Linked DNA regions of Callithrix jacchus. The protein of the gene in region 2 interacts with the protein of the main gene of each other region in a biochemical or structural test. Links are inferred from orthologs where the notes say so. Each region holds a gene or a part of one and is shown on either strand. Other genes may lie near its edges.

What was found.
Region 1: the proteins of RANGAP1 (region 2) and RANBP2 form a complex in vitro, tested with the Homo sapiens proteins (5 studies listed by BioGRID and IntAct, with this or other methods). The link is inferred for Callithrix jacchus from reciprocal best matches to the Homo sapiens genes RANGAP1 and RANBP2.
Region 3: of the proteins of RANGAP1 (region 2) and USPL1, one has a biochemical effect on the other in vitro, tested with the Homo sapiens proteins (2 studies listed by BioGRID). The link is inferred for Callithrix jacchus from reciprocal best matches to the Homo sapiens genes RANGAP1 and USPL1.

What each region holds. Positions count from the first base shown.
Region 1 is NC_133515.1:20,386,714-20,397,875, reverse strand, and holds the start of RANBP2 (E3 SUMO-protein ligase RanBP2), read left to right. Parts: upstream 1-3,929; 5' UTR 3,930-4,018; coding exon 4,019-4,090; intron 4,091-11,162. UniProt on the Homo sapiens protein: E3 SUMO-protein ligase which facilitates SUMO1 and SUMO2 conjugation by UBE2I. Involved in transport factor (Ran-GTP, karyopherin)-mediated protein import via the F-G repeat-containing domain which acts as a docking site for substrates.
Region 2 is NC_133502.1:192,059,653-192,070,341, forward strand, and holds part of RANGAP1 (ran GTPase-activating protein 1), read right to left. Parts: coding exon 10,688-10,689; intron 5,279-10,687; coding exon 5,120-5,278; intron 4,043-5,119; coding exon 3,929-4,042; intron 3,529-3,928; coding exon 3,429-3,528; intron 3,343-3,428; coding exon 3,258-3,342; intron 2,054-3,257; coding exon 1,870-2,053; intron 1,117-1,869; coding exon 997-1,116; intron 1-996. UniProt on the Homo sapiens protein: GTPase activator for RAN. Converts cytoplasmic GTP-bound RAN to GDP-bound RAN, which is essential for RAN-mediated nuclear import and export. Mediates dissociation of cargo from nuclear export complexes containing XPO1, RAN and RANBP2 after nuclear export.
Region 3 is NC_133506.1:149,857,895-149,868,583, reverse strand, and holds part of USPL1 (SUMO-specific isopeptidase USPL1), read right to left. Parts: intron 6,814-10,689; coding exon 6,656-6,813; intron 1,711-6,655; coding exon 1-1,710. UniProt on the Homo sapiens protein: SUMO-specific isopeptidase involved in protein desumoylation. Specifically binds SUMO proteins with a higher affinity for SUMO2 and SUMO3 which it cleaves more efficiently. Also able to process full-length SUMO proteins to their mature forms.

The DNA.
Region 1 (11,162 bases), on a different chromosome or scaffold from region 2:
GGTGTGAGCCACCGCTCCCGGCTATATACAACTTTTATTTGTGAATTATACCTCAATTAAGCTGGACAAATGAACTGTATTTGCAACATGGTAGGAATATGATATTCGACACTGATGCAAATGAAATTGTCATTGCCTTGGTGAAAATGTTATACTACTTAACAAACAAAAAAATGTAGTGTAAAATGAAGGAAAATGTGAAAATCCCTACAAATGCTTGTCCAAAAGAGCAGTCTTTTGAGTTCCTCAAAAAGGTTCTCTCTTTGAATGCTGGGCGTGGTGGTTCACGCCTGTATCCCAGTACTTTGGGAGGCTGAGGCAGACAGATCACTTGAGGCCAGGAGTTCAAGACCAGCCTGTCCAACATGGTGAAACCCCGTCTCTACTAAAAAATACAAAAATTAGCTGGGTGTGGTGGCATGTGCCTGTAATCCCAGCTCCTCAGGAGGCTGAGGCACAAGAATTGCTTGAACCTGGGAGGCAGAGGTTGCAATGAGAGGAGATTGTGCCGCTGCAGTCCAACCTGGGCCACAAAAAAAAAAAACCTCCACCTCAAAAAAAAAAAAAAAAAAAGATTTTTCTCTTTGGGCACTCCTTTTCAATATATTCAACGTAAATGGATTAATGATACCATTTTTACTAGGTGAGTGTGTTTGGGCAAGTTGCTTCAGTGCTCATTCTCGTTTTCCTTTTTTTTTTTTTTTTTTTTTTTGAGGCAGGGTCTTTGTCATCTAAGCAGGAGAGCAGTGGACTGATCATAGCTCACTGTAGTCTTCAACACCTGGCCTCAAGAGATCCTCCTGTTTCAGTCTCCCAAATAGCTGGGATTACTGGCATGCATCACCATGTCTTACTAATTTAATTTTTTTTTTTTTTGTAAGGACATGGTGTTGCTATGTTGCCGAGCTGGTCTTGAACTACTAGGCTCAAGCAATCCTCCCACCTTGGCCTTCCAAAGTGTTGAGATTATAGGTATGAGCCCTGGTGGCTGTCTGTCTTTTGGTTTCCTAATCTGTAAAACTGAGGATAATAACAGTACCCTTACAAAGTTGTGGGAGAATGAAGTTAGTTAATACAAGTGAAGTGCTAAAAAAAAAAGCGCTTTGGAAAACAGCAAGTATTTGTTAGCTATGGCTATTGTTATCAACACATTTTTCAAGGCAAACTCGTGGTTACACCTATCACCTGAGGTTTATGACTTCGAAGTCCATCTTCTCTCTCTTTTTAAAAAATAATTAAGGAAATATTATTATTTTTTGAGACAGAGTCTGCTCTGCTGCCCATGCTGGAGTGCACTGGCACGATATCAGCTCACTGCAACCTCTACCTCCTAGGTGCAAGCAATTCTGGTGCGTCAGCCATCCAAGCTGGGATTACAGCTGTGTGCCACCATGCCCAGCTAATTTTTGCATTTTTAGTAGAGATGGGGTTTCACCATGTTGGCCAGGCTGGTCTTGAACTCCTGGCCTCAAGTAATCTGCCCAACTGGGCCTCCCAAGTGCTAGGATTACAGGCATGAGCCACTGCACCTGGTCCTCTTTTTGTTTTAGAGACAAGAATCTCATTCTTTTCTAGAGGTGGGATGCAAAGGCATGAACATAACTAATTGCAGTGTGCAACTCCTGGGCTAAAGCGATTTTTTCCTCTGCCTTTGGAGTAGTTGGGCCTCAGAACGGTGCTGAGACTTCTGGCTTCCATCAGGATCTTTGTCCTACCATTTCATCTTCTTACTAGACTATCTCCACATAGATCTATAAATGGCACCTCAAGTGAAAGAAATCAACTACCTAAAATAGGATATGCCACTCCAAACTTGTTTTTCTTTACGTGTCATTTCTGTTAATGTGGGTCACACACATGGGTAAACTCAGAATTATCTTTTTATTTTCTTTTATTCACATCCAATATGGTTGAAATAAAACAAAAGGAAATGCTGTTTTTTCTTTTTTAGAAAGGCAATATTTGTTCATTATATAAAATTTAGAAAATATGGAAAGGATAAAAAATTATCCACAAACAAAACTGCCCAAATTTCCAGTTAAAAATGTCAGTGTATTTTATATTTGCCCATGTAATTAAGGCTATACTGTTTAAACAAATGCTTTTAAAATCTAAAAGATTCTCACTATTAAAAACCTTTTGTTAAGTCTTTGTCTCAAAAAAAAAAAAAAAAAAAAAAGAGTCTTGCTCTGTTACCAGGCTGGAGTGCAGTGAGGTGATCTCAGCTCACTGCAATCCCTGCCACCCGAGTTCAAGCGATTCTCCTACTTCAGCTTCCTGAGTATCTGGGACTACAGGTGTACGCCACTACACCCAGCTAATTTTTGTATATTTAGTAAAGATGGGGTTTCACCATGTTGGCCAGGATGGTCTTGATCTTGACCTCGGGATCCGCCCTCCTCGGCCTCCCAAAGTGCTGGGATTACAGGCGTGAGCCACTGTGCCAGGCCAAGTCTTGTTTTAAAAGTAAGATTTTAACATCCAAATTCCCAAAATAAGACATTTTTGAAGATTTGTTAAATACTGATGGCTCAACATCTTGATATTATTACTGTTAAATTTTGGTATCTCCTGTTATTCTGCTAGTGAAATATATATAGATCTGGTGGACTATTCCTTTTTTTTTTTTTTTGAGACAAGGGTCAAACTCTGGTGCCCATGATGGAATGCAGTGGCGCTATCATAGTTAATTGTAAACTGGAACTCTTGGCCTCGAGCCTCCCAAAGTGCTGGGGCTACAGGTTTGAGCCACTGTGCCGGGCAAATGGCTATTACTATAGACACAGTTGATCCTTAAATAACATGGTTTGAACTGCCTGGGTCCACTTATAAGCCGACTTAAAATACAGTATTCGAGAGGCCCGCGTTTAGAGAGTACCCTCTCTAAGAGTTCTGCAGGACCGAGTGCGGGATTTGAGAATGCGCGGATTTTTGTTTTGTTTTTAGATGAAGTTTTACTCTCGCCCAGGCTGGAGTGCAGTGGCGCAATCTCAGCTCACTGCAACTTCCGCCTCCCACGTTCAGGCGATTCTCCTGCCTCAGCCTCCGGTGTAGCTGGGATTACAGGCGCCCGCCACTACACCCAGGTAATTTTTTGTATTTTTTATTTTTTGAGACAGAGTTTCGTTCTTATTGCCCAGGCCGGAGTGCAATGGTGTGATCTCGGCTCACTGCAACCTCTGCCTTTCGGGTTCAAGCCATTCTCCTGCCTCAGCCTCCCGAATAACGGGATTGCAGGCGCCCGCCAAATTTTTTTTATTTTTTATTTTTAGTAGAGACGGTGTTTCGCCATATTGGCTAGGCTGGTCGCGAACTCCCGACCTCAGGTGATCCGCCCGCCTAGGCCTCCCAAAGTGCTGGGCTTACAGGCTTGAGCCACAGCGCCCGGAAGAATGCGTGGATTTTGGTATAAGCAGGTGGTTCCGGAACCAATCCTCTGCCGACGGATGTGTTTAAAAAACTGTAATTGTTCAAAATTTAGTATTTGTGGTCTACTTTTTCATATATGCACTTTAAAATTTATTATTTCTTTTAAAAGGTATTAATTTAAAAATGTATGCTTCGTATTCACACACATGTCCAACGCAACGTATTTAACCAGTCATCTCCAGAAACGTTGTTCCACTTTACAAGCTCACAAAATCGGCCGCAGTGCTTTTTTCTTCCAATGCATAGAGCATTTATAATTTAAAACAAGCAACCAAAAGGCTTAAGAGCTCAGCACGCAAACTTTTATCTGTTGGAAACCTACTACCTTAGCGTGATGGACGCTGGCGCCGGCTACCCAAGACCAGGCTCCGCGACCAGGAAGTTGCCAGGAGCTCCGCTATGTGCGGCGCGAGCGCCGACGTCGCCAACGTGGCGCACAGTGCTGACGCATACGCAAGTGCGTTAGACTGGTCCTCCGCCGGCGACGGCACTGCGTCACTGGCTTGAAGGCGCTTTGCTCTTGGAACTGGCGACCGTTGCGGGGTTGAGTGTTTGACTCCCGCGCCTCGGAAGCCAGCTTGGCGGCGCGATGAGGCGCAGCAAGGCCGACGTGGAGCGGTACATCGCCTCGGTCCAGGGCTCTGCCCCGTCGCCTCGAGAGGTGAGTGGGTCTCGAAGAAACCTACTGTCTCGACCTGGCCCGGCTGCGGCCTCCCGCGGCTCGGGCGTCATGGCTCCTGACAAGCACTGCTCCGTGGCGCGCTCTCTTGAGGCGCTGGCCGGCCAGCGCGGCCCTGTGGGCGGCGTGGCGCTGGCGAGTGCAGAGGAGTCCTGGCTGGGCCGCGGCGGGCCGGCGCTTCCTCTTTCTTCCGGCCTGTTCCGGACGGTCCTCGCTCGTGGGCCCACCCTGGCCCTGGCTTTCTGGCCGGTCGCGCACCGCTGGGACCGGCGCGGCCTAGTTCTCTGGGGCTTGGGCACCAAAGTCTCGGATGCTGTATCCGGCGGGGTTCTTTCCATCTCCCGGACATTTACTTTACATGCTGCGGCGGAGGTCGTACCTCCTTGGCCTGGTGGAACCCAGTGAGGACTGACGCAGCTCCGGGGTGAGCTTTGGCGACTCTGACGGGTGACATCTCAACGCAGACATTTGCCACGGCTCGACAGCGCAAATGATACGGGAAGTCCCCTTGCTTTAAGGCTGAGGTGTTTGTCGCTGTCCCTTTATAAGGGTCTAGCTCCACTCTTCATACTCACCCCTGTCCCCCGAACCCAGAACACTTCGGTAGCTGCTTTTGTGTTTTGTTTAAAAAAAAAAAAAAAATTCTAGATTTCTTGCAAATTTATGCCTTAGAATTTTTAACTTTTTCCACAGATGTTCTTAGGGTATTTTTCCTTTTTAAAGGTAAATAATATGATATCTTTTGGATTCAGTAAGACTTTAGTATTTGGATGTAAAGAGTGATGGAAGAAGCTATTTAAAGGTGAATGTGCACAGAATCTTGAGTCAGTTTGCTTTGGCTTGATGAATAACCACAGCGCTGTCTTTTGTAAGTTGGATATTTGGTACAGGTTACACTATTCATCCATAGATGGAGTTGTAACTGATAGAATTTGATAGGGTGATCCATTTTAAACATTTAGGGTTGTGTGTGCTGGACACATAGTATTAAAATGTTAGCTGCAAGTCACTATTTTTATTGTTGATGTCGAAAGGATTTAGCGGGGCGTGGTGGCTCACATCTGTAATCCCACCACTTTGGGAGGCCGAGGCAGGCAGATCACCTAAGGTTAGGAGTTCGAGACCAGCCTGGCTGACATGGTGAAACCCCGTCTCTACTAAAAATACAAAATTAGCCGGGTGTAGTGATACACGCTTGTAATCCCAGTTAGGAGGCTGAGGCAGGAGAATCTCTTGAACCCAGGAGGCGGGGGTTGCAGTAGCTGAGATCTGGCCTTTGCACTCTGGCCTGGGCGCAAGAGCGAAACTCCATCTCAAAAAGTAAATAAATAAAAGGATATTTATTCAAAGTCTCTACTGTGCAAGGGCCTAGGAGAATAAAGATCTGTAAGGAAGTTTTTTTTAAAAAAGAACGGCTTGCGGGCGGGCCCGGTGGCGTATGCTTGTAATCCCAGCACTTTGGGAGGCCTACCGGCGGATTGCCTGAGGTCAGGAGTTTGGGACCAGCCTGGCTAACATGGTGGTCCCAACTCTGTCTCGACTAAAAATAAAATTAGTCAGGCGTGGTGCACGCCTGTAGTCCGATCTACTCAGGAGGCTGAGGCAGGAGAATCGAGGCGGAGGGAGACTCCGTTAAACAAACGTAATGGAAAGCCCTGGGTGATCCTGATTATTATAGTAGCACAGTTGTGTCTTTTATAATAACTAAGCATAGATTACCTTATTTTGCACTTCAGCAACCCTGTGGAAATTGAGACCTGTAGAGATTAAAGATACTTGAACCCTGTGGATATTGAGAACTGTGGAGATTAAAGATACTTGTTCAGGGTCAAATAGGTAGCGCAGCAGAATTTTGGCATTGGGTCCTGGGAACACTGAAGTAAGTTACAGTCTATTCCTCCAGAGAAGAGGACTATCTATTCCTACTTGTACATTGTAATTTCAAACTGCTAGCATAGTCATAAATGTGGACATAGTGATAGAGTCTAAAACAGACCTTATTGAGGGTACCTGTAACTCCTGAAATTACACTTTAATTTTTACGTTATTTTTTTTTTTTTGAGATGGGATCGATCTCTTGTCATTTGCTGGATGCAGTGGTGCTATCTCGGCTTACTGCAATGTCCGCCTCCCGAACTCAAGCCATCCTTCTACCTCAGTCTCCTGAGTAGTTGGTACCACAAGTGCACCCATGACACCTGCTATTTATTTATTTTTTGCATTTTTGGTAGAAACTGGGTTTCACCATGTTGCCCAGGCTGTTCTTGAACTCCAGGGCTCACATGATTCCCCTGCTTCCACCTCCCAAAGTGTTGGGATTACAGGCGTGAGCCACTGCACAGGGCATTAATAATAATAATAATTATTATTATTTTGAGACAAGGTCTTTTTTTGTCTCCCAGGCTGGAGTGCTGTGGCGGGATCATGACTCACTGCAGGATTGACCTCCTGGGCTCTGTCCATCCTCCCACATTAGCCTCCCAGGTAGCTGAGACTACAGGCATGTCAGCTACAGGCATGTGCAACCATGCCTGGCTAACTTTTTTCTTTTTTTTTTGAGATGGAGTCTCGCTCTGTTGGCCAGGCTGGAGTGCAGTGGTGTGATCTTCGCTCGCTGCAACCTCCGCTTCCTGATTTCAAGCAGTTCTCCAGCCTCTGCTTCCCGAGTAGCTGGGATTACAGGTGCACACCACCATGCCCAACTGATTTTTGTTATTTTTAGTAGAGATGGGGTTTCACCGTGTTGGTCAGGCTGGTCTTGAATTCCTGATCTTGTGATCTGCCTGCCTTGGCCTCACAAAATGCTGGGATTACAGGTGTGAGACACTTTGCCCACTCTGATTTTTTTTAATGCAAGCTTAAAAAATAAAAAAGCAAGCTTAGAACCTTTCCGAGATTCTTAGTGGGGACGTTGACTTCCAAAAGATTAAAAACCACTGGTTTAAACAGAAGTTAGAGTGTTCTTTCAACTACATTAACTTTTCCATTAAAGTGGAGTGGTGACAGAATTTTGGGAATTAGTTACTATGACCAGCTCTCTCTTACACTTAAAGAGTATTTTTTTTCCCAAACAAATTGAAATGGATTTTAGTGGAATATGGATTAGCTAGTGAGTAACTTTTCAACATGTGAAGCTATTCCATAAAGTTAGGTTCGAGTGAAATGATGAAACAGGGTGCTTTGGATAGAAGGTAAAGAATGGAGTGGGAAGAGGCAGTGGCTGGGAAGACTATAAAGAGGTTAGTATTCTCCCCCAGTTTGGCAGAGGCTGGCTATCTGTGAACTGACTATGCTTTCTAGGATGTCTTCGTTCTGAAGTGTTGATGTGTCTGTATATCATATCTTTCTGGTCTTCCATTGTCCTTTCATTTCATCTCCTCTTTGTTTTGCCATTTTTCTACTCCCTCACATATGCTTTTGCCCTTGTTAAAAATACTTTTTGCCTGTAATCTGAGCACTTTGGGAGGCTGAGGTGGGTAGATCACCTGAGGTCCGGAGTTCGAGACCAGCCTGATCAATATGGTGAAATCCCGTCTCTACTAAAAATACAAAAATTAGCCAGGCGTAGTGACATGCACCTGCAGTCCCAGCTACTCGGGAGGCTGAGACAGGAGGATTGCTTGAACCCTGGAGGTGGAGGTTGCAGTGAGTGGAAATGTGCCACAGCACTTGAACTTCAGCCTGTGTGACAGAGTGAGACTTGTCTGGGGAAAAAAAACTTCTTTCTCTAGTTTTTCTTTTTCCAGATGGTTTCTGTTTAGTTTTTCCAGGTTCTGTCAGGTTAGCTTCTCATTCTGCAACTGATTCCTACTCCCCAGAGGCTATTTATTTATTTATTTATTTTTTGGGCTTAGTGATCGTCCTACCTCTGTTTCCTGAATACTTGGGTCTACAGGCAGGCACCTTTGACAGCTCTTAGCTTTTTTTTCTGCCCTTGATATCTATACTTCATGCTTCTGAGTCACACACATACATATTTTTGTTATTTTTAATTCCCTGTCTACCATTTTAGACAGTTTCTACTGGCTTTTTACTGTGCTCCTCCAAAACTGTCCTTAGACACTTTGGTTCGCCCCTTATTCTTTCAGTACTGTTATTGCAGTTTTTGTTAAAATGAATATTTAACATTTATGTAAATACCATAAGGTAAATATTTTTGTATTTGAATTGCCCTTATTGTGCAGTTTTGTTTTTCCTGGACTGAATAATTGCTTTAGTTTTTGGTTTGCTTATGTTGTGTTACTGCTTGTTTACTTAAACTCACCAATTTAAACCCTCAAATGTGGTCAAACTGGTCACATAATGCCATCAATTTCAGCTTAAAACATTCATCCATCCATTCATTCATTCATTCATTCATTCATTCATTCATTTATGTATGTATATTTTGAGACGGAGTCTCACTCTGTTGCCCAGGCTGGAGTGCAGCGGCACAGTCTTGGCTCACTGCAACCTCTGCCTCCTGGGTTCAGGTGATTCTCTTGCCTCACCCTCCCGAGTAGCTGGAATTACAGGTGTCTGCCACCATGCCTGGCTAATTTTTTGTATTTTTAGTAGAAATGGGGTTTCAATATGTTGGCCAGGCTGGTTTTGGAAAATAATGGTATGCCTGCAAAAAACATCTTTACTTAGTTTGGTTGATAGATTGGTTATCAAATTCTGAGTTTGAAATAATTTTTTTCTCAATTTTGAGAGCACTGTTCCATTTTCTAGAAGTTCTGTTGTTAGAAGTCTGATGACATTCTTGTTCTTGGTAACTAAAGATTTTCTGGAAGTGTCCTTTCAATTGGAAAACTCATTTCTTTCAGTTCTATAACATTTCTTGTATTATTTCTTTGACCCTTTCTTTTTTTTTTTTTTCCTGATATTTACCTGAAAGTTGGAGTTTCTCATTTGGTTCTCTAATTTTTCTCTTTCTTTTCCTCTTCTTTTGTTTGTTCGGTTTTTTTGAGAGATTTTTTTACCTTTATGTTCTAGGGGAAGGGGACTGGGGAACTCATGGTTTAATATCTAGACTTTTCCTTATTATCCTGTGTAATCACTGCCTTCACCCTTGTTGGGACTCCACAGATTTGGAGCTGATCAGATGGATTTGTTGAGAATAGCAGCTTTTTTGGAGGATTTTAGTGGGAGGGGGATTCAGTTGACTGTGCAAGATAGAGGTAATGTGGCGTCTCTTAGGGTCTAACTGTTTCTGTTTTCAGCCCCACATCAGTTCTTGATATTTAGCAGCTTAAGAGATTTCAGGTATTTGGTTATTAGGACATCTGCTGTCATTGAAAGAAGTACTGCTTGAATCAAGTATTGTCCTGTTTACGTAACATGGGCTCTGCTTCTTCTTAGCTGTAGATCTTTAAACAAGGCATTTACCTGCTTGAACTTCCTTTCCCTTGTAAAATTAGCAGGTAAGAGGCAAAATATCATATAGAAGAATAATTTATATAGTTGTTTAATTATCTTAAGGTTGTCTAATAAGATAGTTGGAAGCAAAGAAGGTAATGGAGTTATTTTTCTATTTGGTTTTGCTGTTGTACCTTTTAAGAATCTGTTTCTTTATTTTAAAAAGGAGGAACTGACTGGGTGCGGTGGCTCACGCCTGTAATCCCAGCACTTTGGGAGTCCGAAGCAGGTGGATCACGAGGTCAAGAGATCGAGACCATCCTGGTCAACATGGTGAAACCCCGTCTCTACTAAAAATACAAAAAATTAGCTGGGCATGGTGGCACGTGCCTGTAATCCCAGCTACTCAGGAGGCTGAGGCAGGAGAATTGCCTGAACCCAGGAGGCGGAGGTTGCGGTGAGCCGAGATTGCGCCATTGCACTCCAGCCTGGGTAACAAGAGCGAAACTCCACCTCAAAAAAAAAAAAATAAAAAGTTAGTTTAAAAAAAAAAAACTTCATTGGCCAGGTGTGGTGGCTCACGCCTGTAATTCCAGCACTTTGGGAGGCCAAGGCGGGCAGATCACGAGGTCAGGGGATTAAGACCATCCTGGCCAACATGGTGAAACCCTGTCTCTACTAAAATACAAAAAACTAGCCGGGTCTGGTGGTGCTTGCCTATAGTCCCAGCTGCCCCAGAGGCTGAGGCAGGGGAATCCTTTGAACCCGGGAGGCAGAGGTTACCGTGAGCCCAGATTGCACCACTGCACTCCAGCCTGGTGACAGAGCAAGACTCTATCTGGGGAAAAACAAAAAAAAAAACAACAAAAAAAAACCAACAAAAACAACTTCATTGAGATACAATTTGCGTACCATACAACTAATCCATTTAAAGTGTACAATTAATTGATTTTTGTGTATTACATTAATTTTATATTGTGGAAGAATAATATATAACGGTTTGCCATTTTAACCGTTTTTAATTGTACAATTTGGTGACTTTAACTACATTTATAGTGTTGTTCAGACATCACCACTGTCTGTATTCAAAATTTTTTCCTCACTCTAAACAGAGATTCTGTAGCTATTTAGCAATAACTCTATAGGCCCTCCTTTCTGCAGTCCCTGGAAACCTCTGCCTACTTTGTCTCTCTGGACTGCCTTTCTGGATATTTCATATTAATAGGATTACATAGTATTTGTTCATTTGTCTTGTTCATTTCACTTGTGTTTTCAGGGCTCGTATGTTTTGTAGCATATGCCAGAATTTCATTCCTTTTTATAGCCCAATAATAGGCTATTGTATATATATTCTACATTTCATTTACCTCTTCCTGTGTCATTGGATACCTGGGTTGTTTCCTTCTTTTGACTTGCATGTAATGAAGTCAACACTGGTGAACAGTATTGAGTGCCTGCTCTGTTTTCTTGATTATGTACCTAGGAGTAGAATTGGCGGATTGTATAGAAGAAACACTGTAGCTTTTTGAGGAACCCCTAAACTGTCTTCTATAGTGGCTGCACTATTTTACATTATGTAAATGTATGAAGAGTTCCAGTTTCTCCACATCTTTGTCAACACTTAGTTTCTATTCTTTTTGATTGTAACCACTGTAATACCTGTGAAATGATACCTCATTGTGGTTTTGATTTGCATATTTAAAGACTCATGATG
Region 2 (10,689 bases):
CTGCACTTCAGTCTGGGCGACAGAGGGAGACTCTGTCTCAAAAGAAAAAAGAATACAGAAAAAATGTAACAAAGCAATCAGACAAAATGTTAAGCTAATTCTGAGAATGGGCACATTTTATTTCTCTATAACCTCTGAGCCTCCACTTTCTCATCTATAAAATAAGAGCAGCAGAGGTTACATTTCAAGGTGCCAAGAGGGTTAAATAAAATCATGCCCAAGGCCGGGCACGGTGGCTCAAGCCTGTAATCCCAGCACTTTGGGAGGCTGAGGCAGTTGGATCACCTGAGGTCAGGAGTTTGAGACCAGATGGGCCAGCATGATGAAACCCCATGTCTACTAAAAATACAAAAAAAATTTAGGTGGGCATGGTGGCAGGTGCCTGTAATCCCAGCTACTCGAGAGCCTGAGGCAGGAGAAAGTGATTCTCCTTGAACCCGGGAGCTGAGATCGCGCCACTGCACTCTAGCCTGGGGACAAGAGGGAGACTTTGTCTCAAAAAAAGAAAAAATATAATGCCCAGATATAGTAACTGACAGAAAACAGATACCCCAGTGATCATCTCTGAGTAAGCCAACCAACAAGTGAAGCTGGAGTGAGGGCGGCCATCCTGTAACAGGCAGGTCACTTCCAAAGGGGCCCTGGGCAATAGGCTAGTTCTCGAAGCAGCTGGGCTGACAGAACATGCAGCAAGAAGCCAAGGAGTGGGTGTGGTGTGCACCCGCAACAGTCTTGAGGAAATTTACGAGCCCCAGTCGGCACTGGGAACTGGTGGGCTGCACTTTCTGTAGGTGGAGTGGGGAGGGAAGATCTACAACCCCCAGAGGCTTATAAATACACTGGACATTTGCACGTGTCATAACAGTGGCAGGCCAAGCCTCCCTGCCCGCAGCCGACAGCGTCACACCCCCAAGTCCCTGAGTTGTTCGTCCCTTTTCTCTAGCAGCTCCAGAAGCCACGGCACGTATAGCATGGGGGTCGAGGTGTAGTTGTTACCTGCTGGGCTATCAGCACAGAGCTCTTGGGCCCCAGGCGCAGCAGCTTCTCTGGAGATGGAAAAGCCAGGAAGGTAGAGACATCTGTAGGAGGTGGCGAGGACAGCACGGGAGCTGGCTCCTAGGAAGTGGAGGCACGAAGGCTCTATAGAATTCCAGGCCCCAGACTTCCCAACACAGCTGTGCCCATCCCCACACCCAGCACATCCACCCCTCACTCTAGCCCATCTAGGCGCGAAGTCTAGAATTCTTCCTCCCTTCCCACCTATCAACATCACCCAGAGATGCTGGCCCTGGCTGGCTCTTGGTCCAGGAGCCTTTGGGGTCAGGGGGAAGCCACCTACCTAGGACTCAAAAAATCTGCTACAGCCAAGTAGATTCTCGTCATAATATGCAGTACCCGAGAAATGACTAAAGAGATACATGGGGTCTAAAGTAGGTCCCTGTAGAACTACAGTCCACACTGGGTAAGCCCTGCTAAGGTAGCCAGAGAAAAACCTGAACTGGGGCGTACCTATTAGCCAGGTGTGGTGGTGGACACCTATAATCCCAGCTACTTAGGAGGCCAAGGCAGGAGCATCGCTTGAACCCAGGAGGCAGAGGTTGTAAATGTGAGCCGAGATCACACCACTGCACTCCAGCCTCAGTGACAAGAGAGACTCTGCCCCCCCACCCCCCGAAAAAAAAGAAAAAGAAAGAAATATAGGTAACTATCATTACACTGGGACCATTTTCAAGTCAGTATAATGTAATCAAAAAAAAAATGTTTGTGGCTACTATGCTTAGGGAGACACCCCTACCCCACTGTGAAGACGCCTCAGGCTTTCACCTTCTCAGGACCAGGGCTCTGATCATGGCAACGACAGAAACTCACCCCAGTGTTAGGGTCCAGACTCTTCCGTGAGGGCGTGGCTGACTTCTCTCCCTGCACTTGATGCTGAGGCTCTTCCTCTTCCTCCTCCTCTTCTTCTTCCTCCTCTTCCTCATCTTCCTCCTCCTCCTCTTCTGCTTCTTCTTCTTCCTCTTCTCCTTCCTCCTCATCCTCATCCTCGTCATCACTGCAGACAGAGCTGGCTGAAGCATATCCTCTCTACCCAGCAGCCCAGGTTGGCTCCAAGGCCTGGCTCCATCAGCCCAGAGACCTCACCTCAGCCAGGTGGGAGGGAGCCTAGGTGGGGTGGGAGCACCTGCTCCCAGGACAGGGGCAGGTGGATCACCAGGGAAATCCATGCTATGGACACAAAAGAATCAGACCTTGTCCCTGTCCTCAAGGAGCCCCAGGGGAGACAAAAAACAAAGACATTTGTTTTTATTTGTCATACCCAGAGCCCAGGGCTTGGCAGGAACATTCCCCAGGTTGAGATGCCAGGGCAGGGGTACCTACATCCACATGACCTCAGGAAGTTACAGGTATGAGGGAGGAAGAAGAGTAGGGGTGTCCTTGCCCCACAGGAAGGCTAGTCCATTTCCCAGGGACCATTGGACCTGTGAGGTTCAGCCCACCTCCAAGTCCCCAGTTCCCAGCCTCAGCTCAGGGCCTAGCACGGAGGAGACACAACTGAGTATCTGACCCACAAACAAGGCTGACTTGGGGATGAGAGGGGCACAGGGAGCCAGGTGCTGATGGCCCAACTGGACTTGGATCCAGAGGCAGTGGCAGCTCCCCCACCGCACCTTCGCCTCCAGGTGGACTCCCCAGGCCTTAGAATCTCTTCCTTTCTAGAGTCAGTATCTTAAGAACAATCCTGAACGCAGCCCCTTCTGGCAGCCCCCACCTCCCACTCCCATCACTGCCCAGGCCCCACCACATCAGGATGAGATCTGGCCTCAACCCTTCAGAGGCCTCCCGATTCCCCTCGCTCTAGAGGGTGGCTCTACTCAGCCCGTATGAGCTCCTCTTTTGAATGCACAACTCATTCTATCTCTTCTCCATGAGCCAGAAACCCTGACTGTCCCACCCTTATAGACCTGATGCCTAGTGTATAACCCGGCACATAATAGGAGTGCAACCAACCTTTCTGAATAAATACAAGTAGAAACAAATAAAGGGGCATGGTGGTGGTTGCCTATAATCCCAGCTACTTGGGAGGCTGAGGCAGGAGAATCGCTTGAACCTGGGAGATGGAGGTTGCAGTGAGTAGAAATCGTGCCACTGCACTCCAGCCTGGGCAACAGGGCAAGACTCTATCTCAAGGAAAAAAAAAAAGAAACAAAGGAATGGCCTAACCCTGACCTCTGGGGCCACCCACCCTAGTTCCCTACCTGAGGGACGCCAGCACTTTGGCCATATTGAAGCCGTCCAGGACCTCCTGGAGCTGCTCACAGCCTTCTTCTCCCAGGGTGTTGCCTGCTCAAGGGGAGGGAAGAGCAGTCAGCCCGGGGTGCCAGGGCCAGCCTGCCAGACCTGTGCAGAGGACTCCCCCATCCGACTACCGTTCAGGTCCAGCTTCTCCAACTCAGCTTTGTCTGCCATGGCCTCAGCAACAGCCAGGGCAGCGTCCCTCTTGATTTCACAGAATGACAAGTTCAGCTCCTGAAAATAAGAGGAAGGGTTGGAGGGAGGCAGAAACCTGGGCCAGGACACCATGTCCCACTCTAAGCCTCAGTTTCCCCAAGTGAGGATATGGCATATTCTGTCCTCCAGTGCTGTTTCCCAAGGCATAGTGGGCAGGAAGAATAACCCTGCAGCCAACGATGTGCCACACAGTGTGTGTTTACTCAACTATACCACAGTGATGCACACCACCCCCTGCCCACTTTATAAATGAAAAACCATGGCTCTGAGGGGTGTGGAGCTCACACAGCATCACAGGGCATGAAGTGGAGGAGCTGGGATATGGACGCAGGCCCACTTAGCTTCAGACCAGACCCCTGCACCCCCAGTCACCCACCACCCACAGACCCCAGGAGGACGTCAGGGTCTAGGTTGGCACCTTTAGCTTGGGCAGGCCACCACGGATGGCATCTGCAATGGCAACGGCACCCTTGGAGCGCACTAGGCAGTCCCCAAAATTGATCACCTCTACCTGCCGCAAGGTCTTCAAGGTCTGCGAGGGGGAAGTAAGGGTACAGAGAATGAGGGTGCAGGCCACACTCCAGCCCTCAGAAAGCACCATGGTGGCCCCACACAGTCACTTCCCACACCAGCCACCACACACTGTCCTCCTCCCCAAGTCGCCAGCTTTGCCGTCTTCTCCTTGTTGGCCTCTGGGTCCCCCCTTGACCTCACTCCCCATGTTACGGCCACAACTCTTCCTGAGACCAGTCCTGCCCAAGTCTCCAGGCCTTCCACACATAAGCTAATCCCTCTGCCTGAAACATCCACCTCCCACCTTCTGTCCGGAGAAAGACCACTTGTACTGTACCTTAGCCAAAATGTGATCTCTTCCAGGAAGCCTGACCTAAGTCTGATTTGAACTTCCTTCTGACGTGTTCCCAACACCTGCACACATCTCTGCTAACACATAAGCAGCCAGACTAGCCTTCTGTGGGGCCACAGGGTCCTGGCAGCCAAGTATCCACTGCGTTCAGGACCCAGCATTGTCCCCGCCAGCACCTCCCTCCCCTCCTTGAGCTAGGATCTCCTTGAAGGAGGGTCTTTGGCTCAACCCTGTGTGGCTTGCACTTGCTTGGTACAAAGCCAAGCACTAAATGGGGGCTCAAAAAACAGCTGCTGGGTCAGGCACAGTGGCATGCGCTTATAATCCCAGGCTACTCAGAAGGCTGAGGTGGGAGGATCACTTGAGCCCAGAGTTCAAGACCAGCCTGGCCATCTCAAAAAGTGGCAATAAAGAACAAAACAAACAACAGCTGCTGAACAAATCAACGAGGAAAATAGAGGTGGGAAGCAGCCCGCTCCTGTGCAGCCTGAGAACAAAACCAGCGCCAGCCGCTGGGGGCCACAGAGGCAGCTCAGGAGGAAGGCGGCATGAACACTCAGAGCTGCATGGGTTACTCGTGACCAGCAACCCTGTTCAGGGACCCATGGGTTCAACGAGCTGGACCCATGGGGCATACACCCAGGGGACAGAGCAGTCCCTGCTACACAGCCCCAGCTTTCCTGCAAAGGCAGCAGCAGCCTCTGTCTGGTGAGGCCCAACCTGGCTCTGCCACACTTGCCTCACCTCGGCCATGGCCACAGCGCCCTTCTCAGTGAAGGTGTTGTCGTTCAGGTTGATGACCCGCAGCAGAGGGTTGACAGCAAAAGCCTGGGCCAGGGCAGTGACACCAGGGTGGTTGATCCCATTCTGTGGCATGTGGACCTCCTCCAGGGTCCCAATGACCTGTGAAGAGGAGACAGAGCGTGGAGGCCCCAGTGCCAGGTAACATCCAGCAGGCCCAGGAACAGGCTGCCACCAGCACGGCAGGGGCTCATCTGTGGGATTCTGGGGCATGGCTGCATCTGACTTTCCTCAACCTCCTGAGGGAGGCCTACTACCTGGGATAGGATCCCACAAAAGAAGAGACTAGGGATCAAAGAGGTGCAGTGACTTGCCCAGGGTCACACAGCTCTAGATCCAGCAGGTTGATTTCTTGTTTTCACTCTGGGGTCCTCTGCATGGCAGGGATCCTGGTTCTGGTAGGCAGGCACTCATGGCCCTTCTTGGGATGACACAGCTCCATGTGACCTTTTTTTCTTGGGGCCCTCCTACCCTACCCACCTACACAACATAACGCCTTCGACATGCCGTGTCCTTCTCTGGGGATGGGAAGGTCTTCCCTGGCCCATGCTGCCCTATCTCATCCTGGCCTTTTGATACACATTCTCTCCATGTGGAACACTCTATCTCCTTATTTGACAGCATTTTTTCTTACTTTTTTTGAGACAGAGTCTCACTCTGTCACCCAGACTGGAGTGCGGTGGCACAAAGTCTCACTCTGTCACCCAGAATGGAGTGCGGTGGCACAAAGTCTCACTCTGTCACCCAGACTGGAGTGCGGTGGCACCATCTCAGCTCACCACAACCTCCGCCTTCCAGGTTCAAGTGATTCTCCTGCCTCAGCCTCCCGAGTAGCTGGGATTACAGGCACATGCCACCACACCTGACTAGTTTTGTATTTTTAGTAGAAATGGGGTTTCGCCATGTTGGTCAGGCTGGTCTTGAACTCCTGACCTCAGGTGACCCAGCTTCCTCAGCCTCCCAAAGTGCTGGGATTATAGGCGTGAGCCACCACGCCTAGTCAATCAGCATTTTCTTTCTTTCTTTTTTTTTTTTTTGCAACTGTATATTTCAGGAAAGCATTTTCTTGACAAGCTAACTCACCGGCATTCTATGGCTCTTGTTTCGGTCACCTTCTCCCACAGGAAGGCTTCCTCGATTCCCCCAGCCAGGGTCCAGTGCTTTTCCTCTGTGCCTCCGAAGCACCTGTTCCCTCCTCTATCACAGTGGTCCTCACCCTGCCTACATTCAAAGTGTATATTCCTGTCTGCACCCCATTGCCCCCTGAGCTTTGGAGGAGAGGGCCATGTCCGAGTCTCCACCGTGACCCAGGACTGAAGACAGACTTGGCATAACTGTGCCAAGGCACCTTCTGCTGTCCTCCAGTGCTCACTGCTGCATGGGGTAAGCAAGGGAGCGGGTGGTTCACAAATACAGAAAGACCAACTGAGGCACATTCCAGGTCAGGCCTTCTGAATATTTTCTGTGCTCTGAACCTTTCAGGCAGTCTGGTGAGACCCCTGGGCCCACTCCTCACAAAATGTTTTTTTTTTAGTTTTAAGAAAAATTATAGAGAACTACAAAGGAAATCAACTCAATTGGAACAGTTATTAAACATTTAGGAAAAAACTCCAAATGCATTCTGTAGTAATATACGAACTTCTTGTTAATGCACTAAATAACAAGGTCTAGGGGTGGGTCCACTATTACTGCAATTTTGATGTAGTGAGAAATATTTCTATATATCAGCAAAAACTTAACTTGAGATGAAATATCTATGATTTCTATTACGGACAGAGTCAAAATATTTTCTTTTCTTTTCTTTTTTTTTTTTTAATTGAGACAGAGTTTTGCTCTTGTTATCCAGGCTGGAGTGCAATGGCGCGATCTCGGCTCACTGCAACCTCCGCCTCCTGGGTTCAGGCAATTCTCCTGCCTCAGCCTCCTCAGTAGCTGGGATTACAGGCACACACCACCATGCCCAGCTAATTTTTTGTATTTTTAGTAGAGACGGGGTTTTATCATGTTGGCCGACCATGCCCGGCCAATATTTTCTTTCTATTTATTTAAAAAATTATTTGGCCGGGTGAGGTGGCTCACACCTGTAATCCCAGCACTTTGGGAGGCCGAGGTGGGTGGATCACGAGGTCAAGACATCGAAACCATCCTGGCCAACATGGTAAAACCCCGTCTCTACTAAAAATACAAAAAATTAGCCGGGTGTGATGGCACATGCCTGTAATCCCAGCTACTCGGGAGGCTGAGACAGGAGAATCGCTTGAACCCAGGAGGTGGAGGTTGTGGTGAGCCAAGAATGCACCACTGCATTCCAGCCTGGGCAACAAGAGTGAAACTCCGTCTCAAAAAAAAAAAAAAAAAAAAAATTTAGACTGGGTACAGTGGCTCATGCAGGCAATTCCAGCACTTTAGGAGGCCAAGGTGGGTGGACTGCCTGAGATCAGGAGTTTGAGACCAGCCTGGCTAACACAGTGAAACCCTGTCTCTACTAAAATACAAAAAATAGTTGGATGGGTATGGTGGCGTGTGCCTGTTGTCCCAACTAATCGAGAGGCTGAGGTGGGAGAATCACGTGAGCCTGGGAAGCTGAAGCTGCAGTGGGCTGAGACTGCACTCCAGCCTGGGCAACAAAGTGAGGCTCTGTCTCAATAAATTAAATTAAAATTTATTTTAATAAATTAAAATTTTTTTTTTAATTCAAGGGCCACATGGGCTCATGTATTATGTGGGTAGTCACAAGCCTTTCTAATGCTGTAAAATTTCTTGTCTACATTCATAATCAAAAGCCACACTATACATTTTAGCTACACTAGGGATAAATAATGATGCTATTTTTTTCTCATCCATGTTCACAGACCCCTGAATTCTATCCACAGACTGGAGGAGATTAAGAACCCCCATTCTGGCTGGGTGCAGTGGCTCATGCCTGTAATCCCAGCATTTTGGGAGGCCACGGTGGGCAGATCACAAGGTCAGGAGATTGAGGGCTGATTGAGACCATCCTGGCTAACATGATGGAACCCCGTCTCTACCAAAAATGCAAAAAATTGGCCGGGCACAGTGGCTCACGCCTGTAACCCCAACACTTTGGGAGGCTGAGGCAGGTGGATCGCTTGAGGTCGGGAGTTCAAGACCAGTTTGACCAACATGGAGAAACCCTGTATCTACTACTAAAAATACAAAATTATCCGGGCATGCTGGCACATGCCTGTAATCCCAGCTACTCAGGAGGCTGAGGCAGGAGAATCGCCTGAACCAGGGAGGTAGAGGTTATGGTGAGCCGAAATCGCACCATGCACTCCAGCCTGGGCAAGAAGAGTGAAACTCTGTCTCAAAAAAAAAAAAAAAACATACAAAAAGTTAGCTGGACATGGTGGTGGGTGCCTGTAGTCCCAGCTACTTGGAAGGCTGAGGCAGGAGAATCACTTGAGCCAGGGAAGCAGAGGTTGCAGTGAGCCGAGATTGTGCTACTGCTCTCCAGCCTGGGTGACAGAGCAAGACTCCGTCTAAGAAAAAACAACCCATTTTAAGCCCACCAGAGGACACCTTATGAAGGCTCAGCACAACCACAGCATCGCCCCCATTCCCAGTGCACAGAGGACAGCAAGCTGAGGGCAGGGAGGGATCCAAGGATGGCAACAAGGCCCCTCCAGCTCTTGAGGAGGCAGCAGGAGCTCCCCTGCAGCCAGGGGTGCAGGGAGATACGAGGCAGATCTCTGTGCTATCCACTTGGCACTGAAGTAGGCAAGGAGTGTCTACAGACAAACTCTGTGGGCAGGCAGGAGAGGGTGCCCATTCAGCCCAGTATGAGCAATGCTCCTAGGATACTGTTTGTTGAAAAAAAACATTTAAATTCAGAGAAGAGTGGCTGGGCACAGTGGCTCACACCTATAATCCCAGCACTTTGGGAAGCCCAAGCAGAAGACCACTTGAAGTCAGGAGTTCGAGACCACCTGTCCAATGTGGTAAAACCCTGTCTCTAACAAAAATACAAAAATTAGGCCAGATGCAATGTCTCATGCCTGTAATCCCAGCACTTCGGGAGGCTGAGGCAGGTGGATAATGAGGTCAGGAGATCAAGACTATCCTGGCCAACACAGTGAAACCCCAACTATACCAAAATACAAAAACCTAGCCAGGCATGGTAGCACACGCCTATAGTCCCAGCAACTTGGGAGGCTGAGGCAGGAGAATCTCTTGAACTCGGGAAGCAGAGGTTGCAGTGAGCTGAAATCATGCCACTGCAGACTAGCCTGGCGACAGAGCCACACTCCATCTAAAAAAAAAAAAAAACACAACCAAAAATTAGCCAGGTGTGGTGATGGGCGCCTGTAATTCTATAATTACAGCTACTTGGGAGGCTGAAGCAGGAGAATTGCTTGAACCTGGGAGGCAGATGTTGCAGTGAGCCAAGATTGTGCCACTACACTCCAGCAGGGGTGACACAGTGAGACTCTGTCCCAGAAAAACAAAAAAGAGAAGAGGGAGACAGACCCCAAAGTTTTCAGTTCTGTCATGGGCAAGTGTGACCTTCTTCTGGCACTCATGGTTGGAGACTCAACAATGTCCTAGGGAGCTGGGGAGAGGAGGAGGGGGGAGACGAGGAGAATGGAAGAGGAGCAGGGACAAGGTAACCCAAGAGCACTTCATCTGGCACCTAAGCCCTGTGGCTGCCCCTGCCTGTCTCCCTGTCTTAGGAAGTCTAGTAAGTTCTTTCTCTGTGCCCCACACCAGGGGCTGGGAGCACTCATCACTCATGTCACCTTGCTCCACCACTTTTTTTTTTTCCCCGAGACAGTTTTACTCTGTCGCCAGGCTGGAATGCAGTGGCGAGATCTCGGCTCACCACAACCTCTGACTCCGATTCGAGCCATTCTCCTGCCTCAGCCACCTGAGTAGCAGAGATTACGTGCCACCATGCCCAGCTAATTTTTGTATTTTTGTTTTGAGACAGAGTCTTGCTCTGTCACCCAGGCTGGAATGCAGTGGCGCAATCTTGGCTCACTGCAACCTCCACCTCCTGGGTTCAAGCAATTTTCCTGCCTCTGCCTTCCGAGTAGCTAGGACTACAGGCGCCCACCATCATGCCTGGCTAATTTTTGTATTTTTAGTAGGGGTTTCACCATGTTGGCCAGGATGGTCTTGATCTCTTGACCTTGTGATCCACCCGCCTTGGCCTCCTGAGGTATTGGGATTGCAGGCGTCAGCCACCGCGCCTGGCATCTTGCTCCACCAATTCTGGGCCTGGCAGATGACACTCCCTGGTCAGAGTGGCCTGAAGCCTCACAAGGGGCTGCTGCTGGCTCACCTTTGGGAGCAACCACACATCTTTCCAGAAATGCATGACAGGAATCCTGGCCCATTTTCGAATGGGCTAACAGGCTTGAAGAGGGCATATGACGCCTCAGGTCTCTCGGCTGAGTGCCTGCCATGGGATCCACATCCAGGACTAACAGCTTACTGTGCCGAGTGCACCTCAGGGCTGCGGGGGCAGGATGGACAGAAACCACTCACCC
Region 3 (10,689 bases), on a different chromosome or scaffold from region 2:
CACATGGATTTTTCTTGGTGGGGCTACAATAATTATGGTCCTGTCTCAGATGTGTGCTCTGGGAAACATCATTTAATTCACTTGGTACTGGTGATGGGATACTGCTATCTCCCATTCCCAAATACCTAAAGTCACCTTCCCCATTTTCGGACAGCTCTGCTGAAACAGCAGTTGCAGGAGACAACAATTCTGCTAAAATTTCTTCGTGAGTGTGACTACCATACAGGGAAACACCAGGAACAGTGGTGCATGCAGACTCATTGGCAATATCAATTTCATATGGTAGCTCATTTAACAAGTCCTCTATTGATTCACAATCATTTGGAGACCCACCCTGGGGCACCTGTTCTAGATTTTCACTTGGATCTGTTCCACTTTGTGGGGAAGACATTAGAGCAGCTAATTTCTTCTTTTGTGCCTTCAGTTTTTTGCGAAGTTTTAGACGGAGTTTATGAATCTGACCTTCCACCAAGTCTTCATGGTTTGATGAAGAAATACCATTTCCATGAGAACTGTGGCTGAGTTGAGCGCTACATGAGGTGCTTCCAGACTTTTCCAAAACTTCTGGAGCAGCATGAGCATGCAAGGGGGCAGCTGTGCCATTAGATGATGGAGGAACTGGTGGTGGCTTACTGATGGGAGGAGGCTTAGTCGCACTCCTACGAGCTTTCTTGGATACATGGCTGGCCTTCTGATTTATACCTTTAGTTTTAAAGCCACCAAAATTATTTACCCCTTTAACTGAAGGTTGTAAATCAATTATTGTGTTTCTATTATGAGCTGAAACACAGAGTGGCATAAAAGAAGCACCTCTGCTTATTAAGCCTTTAACCCAACTGCCGACAAATGGCTTCTTCTGATTTTCTTTCAGAGACTGATTCTGTAGTGACCTAGATGTGGTTAGAGAATCTGCTGTAGTTTCTTTTCTCTTCAAATTAGATACCTGAGATGTGACATGTTCTGGTTTTAATTGCTCAGTTTTTGGTGTAAGGAATTGTTTTAACTGAGCATCCCTCTCAGTTTCTACTGCCTTCACTCCCTGTATAAGACCAGTAGCATGAGTGTTATTCGCAAATTTAGTATTTACAGCACCTTCTGTATTCAGCTGTACTGGCTGCATGTTGGTGTTTACAACTTGAGATGGAAAACTTATGCTCACAAATTGGTCCTGGATCAGCTTTTCTTTCAATGGAGCTGATACTGAAGAAGCCATTAGTGATTCTTGTGATTGCAAAGTACTTTTTTTGAGAATTCCTGTATTTTCAGCTACAAGTTTATTTTCTAACAGGAAAGCTTCAGAATTTAACCGTGAAACTGAGGCTGTTTTCTGGGTAGTTTCTTCAAGTATCAAAGGTAAAATATTGTCAACCAAACCTTTTGAACCTGAAAGGAAGTGATCTCCATGAGTTACAGCTGAGTCCTGTGAAAGAGTATGATGGGCAACTGATGTAACTTTAGGGTGAGTTACTGAGGCTGTTTCAGCTGAGGCCGCATCACCCACAGAACAGGACATTGAAGATACTGATTTCTCATTACCGACAGCGTGCTGGTCATTAGTCTTTCTAAGTGGAAGGCAGGCGGCTTCTTTATCTGTCACTTGGGATGTTTTTCTTTCCCAAATAACAATATGTATCTCTGAAGCAGGCACTTCAAATTTCTTGTGCCTTTCAGAACATGGGCCTTTTAAATCATCACATTCCAGCCAACTTCCTGGAGGAGGGAAAAGAAGTGAAAGATAGATATGAAAAAATCACCACCCTAGGTTAACTTTCTTCTTGCCTTTTCAACTGTTCTATCATTGAATACCCACCAAAGGAGAAGACTCTAAAACATGGTCTTGGCTGGACACGGTGGCTCACGCCTGTAATCCTAGCACTTGGGAGGCCGAGGTGGGTGGATCACCTGAGTTCAGGAGTTCAAGACCAGCCTGGCCATCATGGTGAAACCCCATCTTTAAAATAAATAAATAAACAGATAAATAAAATAAAACAACAACAACATGGTCTTGACCTTGTCACCATCATCTGCCATGTTAAAGTCCTTAGACAGAGTATATTTAACTTTTGGAATTTAGAATTTGGTTATCACCTAATTTATCCAATAACATCAGAAAACAGAATGTTTTATATATATAAATTTTCATGATAAACGAAGCTTGTTACCTGAAGGATCAATATTCATTTGAATTCTTGTTTTATTTCTGACCTTGCATTTTCACATTTGTCAAGAGACAATGAGATGATAGATGACAAGAGTTGAAAAATGAGGATGCACTGCCAAATACTGAAATATTAACACACAACTTGGGAAAAGTCCGTTACTTATAGCAGTGTGGTTGCTGGCAGTTACTTTTGCCTTCACAATTTCAGTGGTGCAGTAGTGACAGGGGCCCTTATGTAGTCAGCTACAGCATGAATGAAGAATAAGAAGGTAACCTGTTTAAACCATTCCTTAAATAAAAAAAGACACCCATTAGGATAGATATTATTTAAAAAATAGAAAATAGCAAATGTTGGCAAAAATGTGGAGAAACTGGAATCCTTGTGTAATGCTGGTGGGAATGTAAAATGGTACAACTGCTGTGTAAACAGTCTGGCAGTTCGTCCAAAAGTTAACACAGAATTACCATTGAGACCCAGCAATTCCACTTGTAGGTATACACCAAAAAGAATGAAAAGCAGGGACTTTCAGTTCCTTGTCCACCAATGTTCAGAGCAGCATTATTCACAATAGCCAAATGTCCATCACAGATAAATGGATAACACATACACTACTACTCAGCCTTAGAAAGGAATGACATTCTGCAATGTGCCACAACACAAATGAATCTTGAAAATGTGCTGAGTGAAATAAGCCAGACACAAAAGGACAAATAATGTATGATTTCACTTCTATAAGGTATCTATAATAGACAGATTCACAGAGACAGAAAGGAGAATAGTGGTTACCAGGGGTTTGGGATGGGAGGATGCGGAGGTATTTTTCAATGAGTAGAGTTTCTGTTTGGCTTGATGAAAAAGTTCTGGTGCTGACGGTGGTTGCATAGCATTGTAAATGTATTCAATGCCAATGAATTGTACACTTACAAATGTTACAGTGGTAAATCTTAAGTTATATATGTTTTACCACTACAACAAAAAAATATAAAAAGTACAGCTGAGAAGTAAAGAAAGGTGGCTAGGTGCTAATAGGCGGTGTGAGGTTAAGGGAAGGTATCTTTCTTTCTTTTTTTTTTTTCTGAGACAGAGTTTCACTCTGTCACCCAGGCTGGAGTGCAGTGCTGCAATCATGGCTCACTGCAACCTCCGCCTCCTAGGCTGGAGCAATCTCCTGTCTCAGCCTCCCGAGTAGCTGGGATTATAGGTGTGTGCCATCACACCCAGCTGATTTTTGTATTTTTAGTAGAGATGGGGTTTCACCATGTTGGCTAGGCTGGTCTTGAACTCCTGAACTCAGGTGATCCACCCACCTCGGCCTCCCAGAGTGCTGGGATTACAGGCATCAGCCATCGTGCCTAGCCAAGAGAAGGTATATTTCTCTACATTTTACTTACTACTACATGATAATTTGAAAAAAGCTAACCACAGGCTTAGATAACAACCTTTCTTAATAAATAATCAACAAATATCTGTACTTTCATTAGAGACTTAGCAAAACAATCCACATTTCACTATATAATCAATATCTACACACATCTATGAAACAGAAAATCAATACAAAAAGCATAATGTCATGGTAATTGTGGCACAGCAAATACGTAGCTTACTCTATTTCTTTTTTTGTCTTTTTTTTTTTCCTTTTTGTGGAGAACGGGGTCTCGCTATATTGCCCAGGCAGGTCTCGAACTCCTGGGCTCAAGCTATCCTCCCACCCCTGCCTCCCGAAACCAAATGTAATAAATTAATATATCATGATGTCAAACACCATCATACTTACTACAAAACATTTCCTATTCCTTGGATTATAATAGATCATGATGTCAAACACCATCATACTTACTACAAAACATTTCCTATTCCTTGGATTATAATAGTGAGCACCCAAAGCACTGTCTTTTTCCTAAGGAGTATATTATTTCAGAAAACATTGTTTTAGCAGTAGAGAAGTGACCAACATAGTGGTTGTCATTTTATGTTGCAAAACATGTTCACAGATACTTAATCTTAAATATTTACAGTGTGCTCAGTTTCTTTTCCTTGTCCATATGCATCTATTCGTTTTTGAAGAAAGATTTCTAAGAGCACACATAGAGAAAACTCATTTGATTTCCAGGTGTTGTGGCTCATGCCCGTAATCCAACACTTTAGGAGGCCAAGTAGGCAGATCACGAGGTCAGGAGGTCGAGACTATCCTGATCAACATGGTGGAACCCTGTCTCTACTAAAGATACAAAAATGAGGTGGGCGTGGTGGCACATGCCAGCAATCCCAGCTCCATGGGAGGCTGAATCAGAAAAATCACTTGATCCAGGGAGTCAGAGGTCGTGGTGAGCTGAGATTGCTCCACTGCACTCTAGCCTGGCAACACAGTGAGACTCTGTCTCAAAAAAAAGAAAACTCATTTGACACATCTACCATAGTCACTTTTTCATGCTGAGAAAGACCATATCTTAAGATTATAAGAGAAAATAAGTACTTGCCACCAGGCTTCAAAGGCTTCCTATAAAGAACTAATCTTGAGGCCGGGCACAGTGGCTCACGCCTGTAATCCCGATACTTTGGGAGGCTGAGGCGGGCGGATCATAAGGTTGGGAGTTTCAGAACAACCTGACCAACATGGTAAAACCCTGTCTCTACTAAAACTACAAAAATTAGCCTGGTGTGGTGGCACATGCCTGTAATTCCAGCTACTTGGGAGGCTGAGGCAGGACAATCCCCTGAATCTGGGAGGCAGAGGTTGCAGTGAGCTGAGATTGTGCCATTGCACTCCAGCCTGGGCAACGGAGCGAGACTCTGTCTAAAAAAAAAAAAAGAACTAATTTTGAGGAATGCAAAGATTAAGAAAGGAAAAACAGATCTTTCCTTACACATTCCCCAAAGGGAAAAAGCTAAAGACCAAATTAAAATATTTAATAAAATATAAGATCTGATACAAAAAAAAGTAAACCAAGAACATAAGTCACATAACAGACATAAATTCTGGTTAAGTTTCAAAAGGGAAAACAAAATATGCTCAGAGATCTGCTAAATCCCCACATACACACAAAACAAAACTGTTCATTAAGCATGTGGTTAATGTGGCTACACCCTTACCTACTACCTGAACCTGCTATTTCCCATTAAATAGAAAACTTTATGTATCTTTTGTTTGCCTGTGTCAGTGGTTCTCTACCACATGACCCACTCTGGAATCATCTGGGAAGCTTTTAAAACAATGTTAAAATAGTATTGCCATAGCATGTGCCTTAGTCTCAGCTACTCAGGAGGCTGAGGCAGGAGAATCATTTGAGCCCAGGAGTCTCACAACAGCCTGGGCAACATAGTGAGACCTTGTCTCAAAAAGAAAGATGAAAGAAGGAGAGAAGGAAAGAAAGAGAGAGAGAGAAAGTGAGAAAAAGTAAAGGAGGAAGGGAGGGAGGGAGGGAGGGAGGGAGGAGGGAGGAGGGAGGCAGGCTAGCAGGCAGGCAGGCAGGAAGGAAGGAAGGCCGGTCAAAAACCAATACCAAAAACACCCAATATTGACATTTGGGCCTAATCACCAAGGGTGGTCTAGGGTACAACTTGGAAATGTTTAGAAGCTAACCAAATGATTCTTATATGCTGTCAGGGTTAGGAACCATGCTGAACTTGAAGTGTATTGATCAATCTTTGAAATGCAAAAAAAAGTTAAAATAAGTTGGTTCATATTGTGAAGAACTACTTCCTCTCAAATCTGAAAGAGGGTAAAACCTTAAGGTAATAATTACATTTATAATATAAGTTAGAGTTTGTAAAATGCTTTTATAATACAGTATTGTGTCATCCATTCAAACCATCCCCAGGAGGAAAATAGCAAGTGTGAAGGAGTGTCTCACTTGCTATATGGTTATATCAAAGTGAGCCCTTATCAATGGCCTGATACAACCCTTTAAGGACATTGAGTTATCTTGTCTAAGACAAAGTGCACATTATGAGAAAAACAAATTCAGTATTACACTACATCAGACAAACAGAAGGCAAAAATTCCCCAAATCCATGAACTGTGCTTACTTAGCTTTCTATTAAGAAGTTCAATTACTTAAATAAAGACTTTATCTTGATAGTAGCTGTTAGCAATCTATGTATTTCACAATTACAGAAGGGCTATATAAGTCTAATGTGTAATAACAGTCTTAGAAAACTATGTCTAAAAAATAAAAGCAAAGATGTTAAGTAGGAAGAAAACTGTAAGCAAATAGTAGTATGCAATCTCATTCTTTGTCTAAAAAAGAAATACACCCATGCACCTGTGTTTACCCAAAATACATGATGTAAGGAAAGAAAGAAATTAGGAAGGATACTAAAACCACCATTTTTAATAGGTGCAAGGAGCAGAAGGCCAAGGTGAGAATGGAGAGAGAAACAGCCAGGGCAAAGTTTGTCTTTTTTTAAAAAAAAAAACAGAAAGTCCCCCCCCACACACACACGAGTTTCGTTTTCATGCCAACTGTCTTAAAAGGAAACCTCTAAACACTTACCATCATCTTCTAAAATCCATGTTATAAAATGATTATTTGCTTGATACTGAATTACAGAAGTTATTTGGTAAAGACAGCCTTCAAAGTGAAATGCATAGTGCTGCAAGTCCTTCTGTGGTAAGCCTTCTACAAAGTGCAACATGAATATGGGAGATACTCTGTGGGAGAGAAAGGCAAAAGACGTTAAACAAATGTAATGCCGTGTGTCTGGTTATACAAAAGATGACTGAGGTGAACTAGTCATACATGGCACTTTCAAGGCTAACCGCACGGACTGCTCTAGAGCACCTCCAGATGTGTGCCTTCATCAGAAATGGAGAACTGTGAGAAGCATGTGGCGCTAAACCCTTTTCAGAATGGCATCCAGACAGTTGGAAGTCATCATGCAGTCAGACTCTAACAGACCATTAAACAAAAACTGCTCTGTAAGCTGCTTTGGCTTAAAGATCTCATGGCAGCTACTTTGTAAAACCTAAGGAAAAAAATCCAGACCTTTTAGAATTTTCTTTGGCATCAAGTGCTCGGATTAATTGCTTTTGCTGAGTGGGGTAGGTAATATGTGAAAGAAAGCAACAAACCTAAGATATTCAAAATAAGCATTAATTTGGCCTGTTTCAGTCATTTCAGGAAGCAGAGGGGTCTGTCAAATTAAAAGTTCTACTTAGGAAAAGTCCAACTTGTAACTAAGTAGAGACAAAATACAATACATTGGTCAATTTATTATCAACTTCAAGACAACTGTAATTTCAAAAATATATTTTACCATTACAGCAACATGCTGAACCAGAAAATAGAGCCCAATGGGTCTAAAATAACTAAATTTAACAAAGCTCTCAGGATGTAAGAAAAATGTTGACTACCCCTTTTCCCAATATTTAAACAGCTGTCAAAACTTACTTTATCAAAATTGATTCAGCCCAAATGAACTTGAATCCATGTCCAAATTGCAGATTACTCAGACGGACAAGGGATAATTTATAAGTTAATCTTTGTCAGTCATTTTGTTAGACAATAATCAAGTCCTGCAAACTTTCTACATCACTAAACTCTTTCCCACTTTAAAAATCACACCTACTTCATCAAACCTAAGATTTCAGATGATAACATATGCCAGTATGAAAACATGCTGCCAATGAAACTCGATCATGCCATCAATTTCAGGTATTTCCATTTCAGACAGGTTAAAATGTGAACTGTATGTCTGAATCAATGATCCACAGTAAAACTTGAGATGTATTCTCACAGTGGGGTATGTAGGCTTTAGGCACCTGACTTTTTTTTTTTTTGAGATGGACTCTTAGCTCTGTTGCCCAGGTTTGAGTGCAGTGGCGCCATCTCAGCTTACTGCAATCTCCACTTCCTGGGTTCAAGGCTCCGGAGTAGCTGGACTACAGGTGCATGCCACCATGCCCGGCTAATTTTTGTATTTTTAGTAGAGACAGGGTTTCACCATGTGAGCTAGGTTGGTCTCAAACTCCTGATCTCAAGTGATCTACCTGCCTTGGCCTCCCAAAGTGCTGGAATTACAGGCATGAGCCACCAATACCCAGCCTGACTCTTTAATTACTAACATTTAGTCCCTTGACTTTATATAATACCTTTCAATATACCTTCTAAGGCTAGTTACTAAAAAACCTCTTGATCTCTAGACTATGAAATCTCACTAGTTTCCTGCTTTTACATGAGCTTACACATGGAAAATGTTTTAAGACATATTAACGTGATAAATAACGCATGTAAAACCACCTGACATACTTTTATGATTTTCGTACATTACAAATCTTCTATTCTTTTGCAAATTAATAAAAGTAAAAACTGCCAAAACCAAAATCCACACTCAGCCCAATTCCCTGGATGTAGAAGATACTCAGATGCCAGCTGAGTACAAGCACATTCCCCTAGGTAGTAAGAAATGACTTGTCAGAAACCTCCAAAGTCTGCTATGAGATTCAATAGAAATTTGATTTTCTCAACCATCAAAAAAAGAGACAACAATTGGAGCAATTATACGTTAAGTTTTAAAATATTCTCTTAATTACACTGGCCTATCAGATCAACCAGTACACCAAAGCTGTCCAGGACCTGATGTGGCGTGAAATGATGTAGAACAGAGCCATAATGTAGAGTTTTACAATCATGTCAAAAATCTCAATGTGTCCTCCATACTCCTTTCTATAACTATGAAACTTTTTAAGTCCCAAATGCCCAATGAATTCCAGTTTTTTTCCTATACGTTAACATCTCTCATCTCTGAAGTTGGGATACATATTATCATTGATGGCACACAGTTAAATAGGCAGCATTTCTTTTTTGCTTTTCTTTTCTTTTTTTGAGACAATCTCGCTCTGTTGCCCAGGCTGAAGTGCAGTGGAACAATCTTGGCTCACTGCAACCTTTCCCTCCCCGATTCAAGCAATACTCCTATGTATCAGCCTCCTGGGTAGCTGGGACTACAGGCATGTGCCACCATACCAGGCTAATTTTTGTATTTTAGTAGAGATGGAGTTTCGCCATGTTGACCAGAATGATCTCAAACTCCTAGCCTCAGGTAATTTGCCCACCTCGGCCTCTGAAAGTGCTGGGACTACAGGCATGAACCACCATGCCCGGCCAGCATTTCTTTCTTAATGGCATATTTTTTAAATGGTGCAACTTACAAATAGTAGCATCTTGGAGTCAATCAAATAATATGCTTCCCCTTCCTTTTTCTGTTCCTCTTTGATTCCCCTAGACTCTAGTGTCCTACGTACAATTCCAGTGTGTCTCATTTCCAGCCTCTCGGTTGAGGGTAGAACTTTAACCCTAGGTTTTGTTCTCAGACTTCTTCCTACCCACAATGCCTGAAGTGTCAGTGAAGGATGATGCTCAGAGCTAAGGAGACCAAGTTAGGTTCTCCCTCAACCACTGGAAAACTGGATGAAAGGAATTAAGCAAATTGGAACCAAGAGTGAACAGGAGATTTCAAGCTAAGACCTATTTGCATTCATGTAACATGGGGTTAATATCCTCTTATTTAAAAATCTACCCTTAGGAAAAGAGTAGAAAAGAGAGAAAGAAAGCACAAGGAAACTGTGTTAACCTCTGCTACCCAAAGAGAGCAGAGAAACATTGTGTCCCTGTCCCACAAGGCATACTTAGCCTTGCACTCAAAGAGATTGTGGCAGTAACCTTTCAAGAGTTTGTGAAGTAAAATGAAATCTGATTCTAAGTTCTTGGTGCTCCATGTCACCGTGCTCTGAATGTAACTCCTAAACAACTTATTTAAATAAAAGTAGCAGATTTGGGCTGGGCACAGTGCCTCATGCCTGTAATCCCAGACCTTTGGGAGGCCAATGAGGGCAGATCATGAGGTCAAGAGATCAAGACCATCCTGGCCAACACGGTGAAACCCTGTCTCTACTCAAAATACAAAAATTAGCGGGGCATGGTGGCACGTGCTACTCAGGAGGCTGAGGCAGGAGAATCGTTTGAACCTGGCTGGTGGAGTTTGCAGTGAGCTGAGATTGCACCACTTGCACTCCAGCCTGGCAAGAGAGCAAGACTCTGTCTTAAAAAAAAAAAAAAAAAGTAAAGTAGCAGATTTGGGTCCACTAGGCATAATTCATCTGAATTTATCTATGAACTCTTTTCCAATGGGGAGATATAAGAGATGTGGGTTGAGACAAGGTTTCCAAGGAACTTAATGAGTTTTTAGAATGCTGTATGGTCTTAATTACATATGATACATGATGAACCCAATTACTTTTAGGATATCCCTAAAAACTATATTAAATTTATTTCTAAATTCCATAGACACAAACAAATCAAGTTATACAAATTTCAAAATAATAAAAACACAAAGGACTTAGACCTTGTTATTTAAAATTTAAGTGAAATTTCATACACTTAGTTCAATTTACTTTTGAAGAATACAGGAAATATCCATATTATAAATTCTGCTCATAAATTAGCCCACTGGAACTCAAAACACATTTTCCATTAAAAGGCTGTTTTACCTAATGGACCCATTTCCAAATCAGCACATGAATCTTTAA